Linked DNA regions of Arabidopsis thaliana. The protein of the gene in region 1 interacts with the protein of each later gene in a pairwise test. Each region holds a gene or a part of one and is shown on either strand. Other genes may lie near its edges. The genes, in order: AT3G56820 and LUL1.

Evidence for each region.
Region 2: the proteins of AT3G56820 (region 1) and LUL1 interact in a protein complementation assay, tested with the Arabidopsis thaliana proteins (one large-scale study listed by BioGRID).

The regions. Positions count from the first base shown.
Region 1 is NC_003074.8:21,039,050-21,043,707, forward strand, and holds AT3G56820 (RmlC-type cupin), read right to left. Parts: upstream 2,712-4,658; 5' UTR 2,663-2,711; coding exon 2,326-2,662; intron 2,012-2,325; coding exon 1,887-2,011; coding exon of another isoform or gene 1,857-1,886; exon of another isoform or gene 1,213-1,856; coding exon 1,012-1,212; 3' UTR 696-1,011; downstream 1-695. Other genes in the region: AT3G56830 (YCF20-like protein (DUF565)), read right to left, coding at 3,732-3,738, 3,839-4,246, 4,640-4,658.
Region 2 is NC_003076.8:759,554-763,411, reverse strand, and holds LUL1 (RING/U-box superfamily protein), read left to right. Parts: upstream 1-1,571; 5' UTR 1,572-1,744; coding exon 1,745-2,187; intron 2,188-2,304; coding exon 2,305-2,770; intron 2,771-2,857; coding exon 2,858-2,962; 3' UTR 2,963-3,093; downstream 3,094-3,858. Other genes in the region: DIP2 (E3 ubiquitin-protein ligase), read left to right, coding at 73-342; AT5G03204 (uncharacterized protein), read left to right, coding at 1,015-1,125; CPUORF47 (peptide upstream protein), read right to left, coding at 3,264-3,858. UniProt on the Arabidopsis thaliana protein: Acts as an E3 ubiquitin-protein ligase, or as part of E3 complex, which accepts ubiquitin from specific E2 ubiquitin-conjugating enzymes and then transfers it to substrates (in vitro).

The DNA.
Region 1 (4,658 bases):
TTTTGTGATTTAGGTCTCCATGCTTTATTTTTATTTTATTCTCCTTTTCACTTTTGTTTTACGTTTTTTTTTTTACTTTAAGGTTGGTCCATTTGCACATGGCAAATTCCAAAGCATTGACACTTTACTTATTAGCTATAGACATTATAATGTCATTTTTTGGCTAGACATTATAGTGTCTTTCATGTTTTGTTTCCTATTTTGAAGTTTAATTAGTGCTTACTGGCTTACAAAGTAAATTATCACTCAACTCTAGATAAACTTCAACTAGACCTTCGAATACAACATGATGGGGATTCCATTAACAAAATTAAGAACCCTAATCAAATACTAGGCATTTAGGAGTTTAGCACAAGGCTCTATGAGAAACAAAAGGGCATTATTAAGAGTGTTCTTTAAGATTCATGACCTTGTGCATGCTGGACAGAGAAAACTTTTAGAGCTTTTTTTATCAATCCTATAAGAATTAGATATTTTTTGTACGAGTAATTGTAATTGCATCATTAATGGCACTCTGTTTTGAGACCATAAATCATTTACACGTTTGAAGAAAACAATTTATGCTTTAATTTAACAATTTTCGGTAAGCAGAAAAACTAACACTGCTCACAAATTTTACATGTAGAGATATATTTCCATCTGTCAAATATAATTGTGATTGAAGTTTTTAAAATACATAAAACATTTTGATCATAAATAATAAGACTTCGTAATTGATTGATTACAGTGCTGAGTTGGCAAATTGCAATAAGATTTTTTTAGAAAGACATGCATTGCACATTCAGCTGTGAAGAAACAACAAACTCTACATACGAATTGATTCTCACTGATCAGACTAATCTTACCATCATATCAATGAACACAACATTGGAAGTTTCAGGTTTATAATCTCAGTAACAATATGACTGACCAGTCAAAACAAAGCCTACTCTATACAAATAAGGGCTCGAAAGAAAGAAAAGCCAATGAAAATTTGAATGAACAAGAGAAACTAAACTAACCCACTTTGGTTTATAGATCATTCCATACTTTGTAGTCGCTAGTTGAGCTGTTGTTCTGCATATGGTCTTGGCAGCCTATGAAGAAAGTAGAACGCACAGGATCTACATTTACTAGAGCATGAGCCGTGCCACTCTGACTAACAGCTACAGCTACCTCATCCTCTCCAATTAACACTTCGGCGTAACCTTTATCGACTTCGTGGTTTTCCAGCTGCATTCATATAGGTTTGTCCATAAACAATGTTTGATTGATGATTTTGGTTCATCTTGACCCGAGAGCAGTAAAGAAATGGAAAACCAGGGCACAATCATCACAGGAAAAAGGTTCAAACAAGTAAGATAAGCCCACTTAGTCACATTACTAAACATCTTAATGGAAGAAACTCGATTTTTCATTCTTAGACAGTGATTAGTGGTTCAGTGATCCGTGAGTAAATGACTGATGATATTAGTCCAATAGTCAAGAACATCTTTATGATAGATTCAGAAGTGATTTTCACCTTTATCTCAATAAAAAGAGTCCCAACGCAGAATCTAAGACAAAAAATCAGAAAACCACATCAAAGGAACTGAAATCTAGAGTTTGTCTAGACACCTTAAACACTCCCAAACCCTCAAACCAACCAAAGATAAGCCTGCTCCTGCAGCTGTTCAAACCTCTACTTACACACATCATGTCACACAGGTTTAGTTAAGTTGGCATAGCATTAGGAAAAACTCTGAACTCTCCTTTCCACCTTCTTTACCAAGAGTTATCACATACCATTCAATGAAGCATTGGATACTTAGATAAGCAAAAACAGAAATTCCTTTCTGTTAGAGGTGTTCAACAGACTATAACTCTTCCATTATGTTTCAATCAATGAGATGGATGATGAGACTTACCCTGAATTTTGTCTTGGCTCCCCATATGACAAACGTCTCATTACAGGTATGGTGTCTATGGTTTCCCCTCAATCCACCAGGCCGTATTTCACCAACATGAATGGAAACACACGATGCGGCTCCACCTTCAAACAAGTGAAAACATGAAATGTGAATCTCCAGTACCGAGAAAAGAGAAACTTAGGATTACACAATAGTCTCCTTCAAGGTTAGGCAGTCACTCCAAAGATTATCATTCCTAGAGTGACTAAAGACATAGATACTTTTCTCGATACATGCTTCCAAAATTATTTTAACCTCAATACATTATTAATCTCAGGAAGAAAATGAAAATGATAATTTAAGCTACAGATTTTCTCAGTTTCAATATACTCAAGAACCCTATACGAATTGCTGTTTATCAACTTCCTAATTAACATTCGTAAGAATTGATCAGAACCTTTGAGCTCAGAATCACGAGCAAGGATAACGGGATCAAGCAACCAACCACGGTCGTCTTTCCGAGCAGGAGAAAGCGACGCCAAACCGAACCGGACCAAATTAGCCTTATCGTCGTCGTCGTAAACTTTCAAATCGGGATGACTATTTACCGTCGATTTCGGATGTGAAGAGGACGAAGAGACGTGTGATTGTGAAGAGTGTTGTAACCTGAGGGAGATCCATGTGAGCAAGAGGAACAACGAGAGAAGCAGAGGAATCGCTTGAGGCTTCTTCAGTAGGTTGATTAAAGGTGACAATCTCTGGTTCTCGATCACTACTCTTCTAGGGTTTGCCATTTTCCAACTTTCTTTATCTTCCTCTGTTCATTTTGATTTGGTGTTAATTAATTAATTTTGTTTTATAGAGTTTGATTAATTAGAGAGACAAAATTTGACTGGTTAGCTGGCGGGTTGAGCCAGCCCTTGCAGTAGTGCAACGCATGGGCGACTCTTGAAAGCCCAGATAGCAAGCTATCTTAGTGGGCTTTCTCCCTTAAAAAATAGAGTTAATATCGTGTGGGCCGATGGCCCACATATCAGATATTAAACTGATAAGAACAGATACTACACTTGATCTTAGCCAAAAGGCCGAGAAAGGTATGAATTGGACAATGGGCTCAGCTTTCTTTATATATTACACATCTTATGACCAATGCTCTCTAACTTGTCGATGTGGGACGTTTAGAAAAATAGACTCTTTACGCATCTATAAGCAAACGCGAACATATCAATAAGAGACATTAGACATCTGGTTCAATATATGTCATGGGCTTAGCCATCTGGTTCTTGTCGGAGATTTTGACAACGTCGTCATGGTTTGAAACTATCTTGCTTCTGCCTCTGTGTGCTCTTTTGAGATCAATTGCAGCACTAGGAAAGACCATAAGAAATTGTGAGCTGGTGATACTTGAAGATCAGTGATCTGATCTGTGCGCACAGAGGAAAACTGGAATTTGATGAGTGTGTGTTAAAAAAAAAAGCTGGATCCTCCTAAAGAAGAAAGGTGGAAATTTTCGAAATTACTTCAAAAGTCTGAAAAGTGGAAGATGTTTCAGGGATCAACGTTTTTATAATTATCGATCTGCAGTTCAATGATGCTTCGACTGAGAATCATATACAAGGTATTAAAGACAAGTCTCGAGTATTGTTTGCTGGTGACTGGCCTTTGGTAGGTTCGAAGGTTTGGTCTATGTCTTCTACCTTGTGATTTGAAACGCTGAAACATAAGATTTGTCTTCATCGAACGTTAAAGTCTTCACAACCCTCATGTATTGGTTTCAGGCATAAAGGGGACACAGCTTTTCAAAAATTTGCTGACCACTCTCCATTCTTGAGCCAGGTTACGCTGCCTTTTCCGAGGTCCAAGCTAAAACCTGTGTCCAGTCAAAAGGGTTTTCACACTTTTCATTAACTGGAACCATCACAAGAGCGTAAAGACAAAAACTGATAAACTTTCTTTCATAAACTTCATACTTGAATGAGTCTAGGAACAGTCCCAGGGCGAGTCCAGTCTTCCAATAGTTAAACATGGTGATCGTGCTCCGCATCTTGTTGATTAATGGAATAGAAGCTCTGTACATTAAAGCTCCAATGCATTCAACTACAAGCACAGCCAATCCAGCAGATAGAACATCCCAGTCTCCTGTTTGTCCTATGAATGTAGAGAAAGCAGTTGCAGAGTAGAATCCCACCAAGAGAAAGAACAGTTTCTTGGGGAGATCTTTCTTTATCTCCTGAATTTTCACCAGAAGCTTACTTCTGAGAACTTGTATGGCTTTGATTAGCCGTAGACCTCTGGAGCTATTATTACTTGAAGAACCAGATGCTGGATCGAATCTGTCCCCACCAACCGAGCTTTTGATAGTTGTCCATGACATCCTCCTGAAAAATTGCAAAAGACCCACTTAAACTTGGACACTCGACAATGGATTCAACATAAGACCTTCTTTAAGACAGTAGCACATCTCACAACAATCGAGAAGTCTAAGCAAACTTGGAGGTCTAAGGATTTCACTTACTCCATATTAAGTCCGATAAAGCACAAAAAAAACATGATTTATATATCATTGCTTTGTATATATATGTAAGCATGGATTTTACTGGTTAGTATGGTCTCTGCCTTTATAGACAATATACAGAGATCTGCAAGAGATATTTCAGGTTTTGCCAAAATCCTCAACCATTGAATTTCCAGCAGATCATTATATAAAAAGCCACACCAGGAACTCTAACTTTCAAGCCACACATTGATGCTTGAAAATGTTAGAAACTTGCCTTTGATGTCTGACCAACA
Region 2 (3,858 bases), on another chromosome or scaffold:
TCCGACTCTTACGTCAAACCCATCATTGTTCCACATATCTCCACGCGTCAATCTCTCTATAAATACGAACAAATGAACACGTATCAATTCAACTCAAAAAGTAACAATTTGAATTACTTCCGCAAATCTAAAATAATATCTAGTGAAGCGAATATGTGTTTCTTTGATAATCGGTGCGATCAGAATCTGACGGTGGTGGTGGATGTGGCGTGGTGGATGGAGGCTGTTCCTCCACAAATCATTTCTCCGGCGAAGCCATCGGTTTCTCCGATTCTTGAGACGATTTTAGAAGGCGGAGAGACCGAAGAAGACAATCAAGAACAAGAAAACGAGGACGTGTAAATTGTAATGATCATTTTGTTACTCGGTCTTGGGTTTAAGATAGACTCTTGTTGTTGTTGTTGTTTTTTCTATAACTGTATAAGATGAGATTTTGTATTGTATCTTTTGTACAATCAAATCTCAGTTCTTTGTGAAATTTTCATTCAACTTTCACATCTTGTACGCTCGGTGATCTGTTGTTATATGCTCACGAGTTGGTAATTAAAGACAAATCTTAATATACTTTCTAACCGAACCGGGACGATAACCGGTCCACGACAAAAAATCAGTATCTTCAAATATCAAACCAAACTTAAACCTGAAACCAGTCTCACCGCTATTTCTGTTTGGTGCGATCATTTTCTCAACCAAAAGAATCTAATTTACATTAATTTTTAATAAAGACATGTATGATTTATCTGCAAACTAAAGCAGTGTACGCATACTTATGTTTCAACTTTCGAGCATCACCTAAATATGAAACATAAATATCACGTGCGATAAGTATTAAGCTGCGTCCTATAAAAAAGTATACAAATATATAAAGATCACTTGATGATTAGTTAATTACACTACTACTATTCCTCTCTATCTCTATAAATATCAGCAATAACAATAATTTCCACATAGATCTTCTCAACACAGTCGAAAGCTGCCGAAGTCTAAATCGAAGAAAGAGTATATTTACAAATCATGGCTAGGATGATCGGACCATTCGAAACTGTACCGGCGATTCTTGTTTATCCGATGAGGGTTTCAGCTTCGCCTTCGCTGGGGACAATTTATGAGGAACACGATGAGTAAAATTTTAACAAGACAAGATCAAAACTCGAGTGTTTAATTATTTTTTAATCCATTTTAATGAAATATTCATTTTGAAATATATCTTGATAGTGCTTTCTATTTCTTGGTTGATTTCCACTTTAAACTCTTTTTTATCGACGTTATTATGATCTCCTATATAATCAGACATAAGAGAAGATGTTTCTTAATGACGATCAGTGCAAGATGTTTCTTAATGACGAGCAGTGCTTCTTGTAATCGCCGGTATTAATGGATGTGTTTCTTTGTTTTCCGATCAACCTCCAAAACCAATCTCGTGTCTCCGGTTTTGTCATTTCGTTTCTTCTTATTTTGTAACCGTGATATTGTTGTGAGGCCTTGGGCCTATTGCCTGCCTAGTGCTACTGATAATGATTTCTTTGTTTTATGTGATTAAAAGTAATAATCAATTTCCCATGGTAATTAATCAAGTTTAATACTAATTTATAATATATACAAATAAACGTTTTGGTGTTTCTTCGTCGACGTCGCTATCTCCAATCTCATTACTCCCCTTTCTCAATGATCATAAAACCTACTTCGATTCTACTCCTTATCAACTGAATCACCGAAAAACCTCACCTTTTTTCTTTTTCCGATCATGGGGAATCTGATCAGTTTGATCTTCTGCTGCGGGAGAAGGCAGAGGAGCAATATTCCTCCGGCGATGGAAACGGCTCCTCTTGAACTCCCACCGAACAGATTTGTATTCGCCGCCGTGCCACCATATCTGAACCCTAACCCTAACTACGTTGACCAGTATCCAGGTAACTGCCTTCCTCCGCCAGTAACTGAGCCGCCGATGCTACCGTACAATTTCAACCATTTGCATCACTATCCTCCCAACAGTTACCAACTACCTCATCCTTTGTTTCACGGCGGTAGATACCCTATACTGCCGCCTCCTACGTACGTCCACCAGAAAGCCGTCACGATTCGTAACGATGTTAATCTGAAGAAGAAGACTTTAACGCTCATACCCGACCCGGAGAATCCGAATCGACTTCTTGTCTCCTTCACATTTGATGCATCCATGCCCGGAAGGTTTTACTTTCAAACTATGAAATGATCAAATTTAGTTAAAAGTTTGAATCTTGTTTGAATCAATCAATGGAGTAATATAAATGACTTAGCTTTTGTTGTTTTGGTTGGCGAGAACAGGATCACAGTTGTTTTCTTTGCTACAGAAGATGCAGAATGTAATCTTAGAGCTACAAAGGAAGATACTTTGCCTCCAATCACTTTTGATTTCGGAGAAGGACTTGGTCAGAAGTTCATACAATCATCTGGAACGGGTATAGACTTGACGGCGTTTAAAGATTCCGAGCTATTCAAGGAGGTGGATACAGATGTCTTCCCGTTGGCGGTTAAGGCGGAGGCAACTCCAGCGGAAGAAGGAAAGTCTGGTTCCACCAATGTGCAGATTACTCAAGTGGTGTATACCAAGGAGAAAGGAGAGATTAAAATAGAAGTGGTGAAGCAGATACTATGGGTGAATAAGAGGAGGTATGAGCTGCTTGAGATTTATGGGATTGAGAACACGGTTGATGGTTCCGATGAGGGAAAGGAATGTGTTGTATGCTTGTCTGAACCACGCGATACAACTGTTCTTCCTTGCAGACACATGGTATAGTGTTCATCATACTTAAAATTAGCTCATATAAAAAAAAAATTGAACTTCTTTTGAAATGGTTTGTGTATTTCTGTTTGGCAGTGTATGTGTAGCGGGTGCGCAAAGGCGTTAAGGTTTCAGACAAATCTGTGCCCAGTTTGCAGACAACCTGTTGAGATGCTTTTGGAGATTAACAAGAACGGATGAAATGGAGATGGAGAATGAACAAATTTAGTTAAGCAATCGACTTGTGTAATATATGCCATGCTTAATTAAGACGTAAAACGTTATGGTTCAATATATTATAAGTGGAAACTGAGTTCTTAAATAGCAATGATAAACAGATAGGCAGCTTCTTATTTAGTTATAGGTGCTTGGCCAGGAGCTGTGGTGGCCGAGGACCAACTATGGCAAACACAGAAGGTGATGGCATTACAACTGAGACAAAGACAGACACGAATCGACGTAGATAAGACTAAGGCGAAGCGAGATTGAGTTTTACATTGGTTTAGTCTTCCCACCATTGATGAACAAACACACCTCTGGCTCTCAGAGTTTGAAGCATGTTGATGCAGTCTGACTTGTGGTTGGAACAGCGGAGGAAAAGCTCATCCACGTAGCATATGACTCCTGTTTCCAGTAAAACAGTTAGGAACTTCATTTCCACTTGGTTTGTGTTCATCTTAAGGACTACAAAGTCTGCGTATTTCGCAGTTTCCTCAAACCAAGCAAGGAAATCGAATCTCTCATCTTCTGGAAATGGTTCTAGCTGTTCAAGCGGAGTTATCTTTTTCCCTGTCGAGTTGTTCTCAGCCAAATCCGGATGGTAAACAAAGGTGACGCCGGGTTTCTTGACATAGGATAGCATTACTGAAGTGTTGTGGTCGACAAAGTAGACATTGAATGCTTTGCTGTCGAGTGGGTATAACGGAAAGAACCAGTTTGGAGTTAAATTAGCATCCATGTGCTCGGCTGCTCCAATGTCAATGTAGACAAGGCTCTTTTTCAGAGAGAGATCAAGGAATTTAGGTAAGTAAGCTACTGATTTTGGGAAATCAGCAGGCTTTTGCTCCAGTAGAGGTTCCATGAACTCTGTGTAAGGT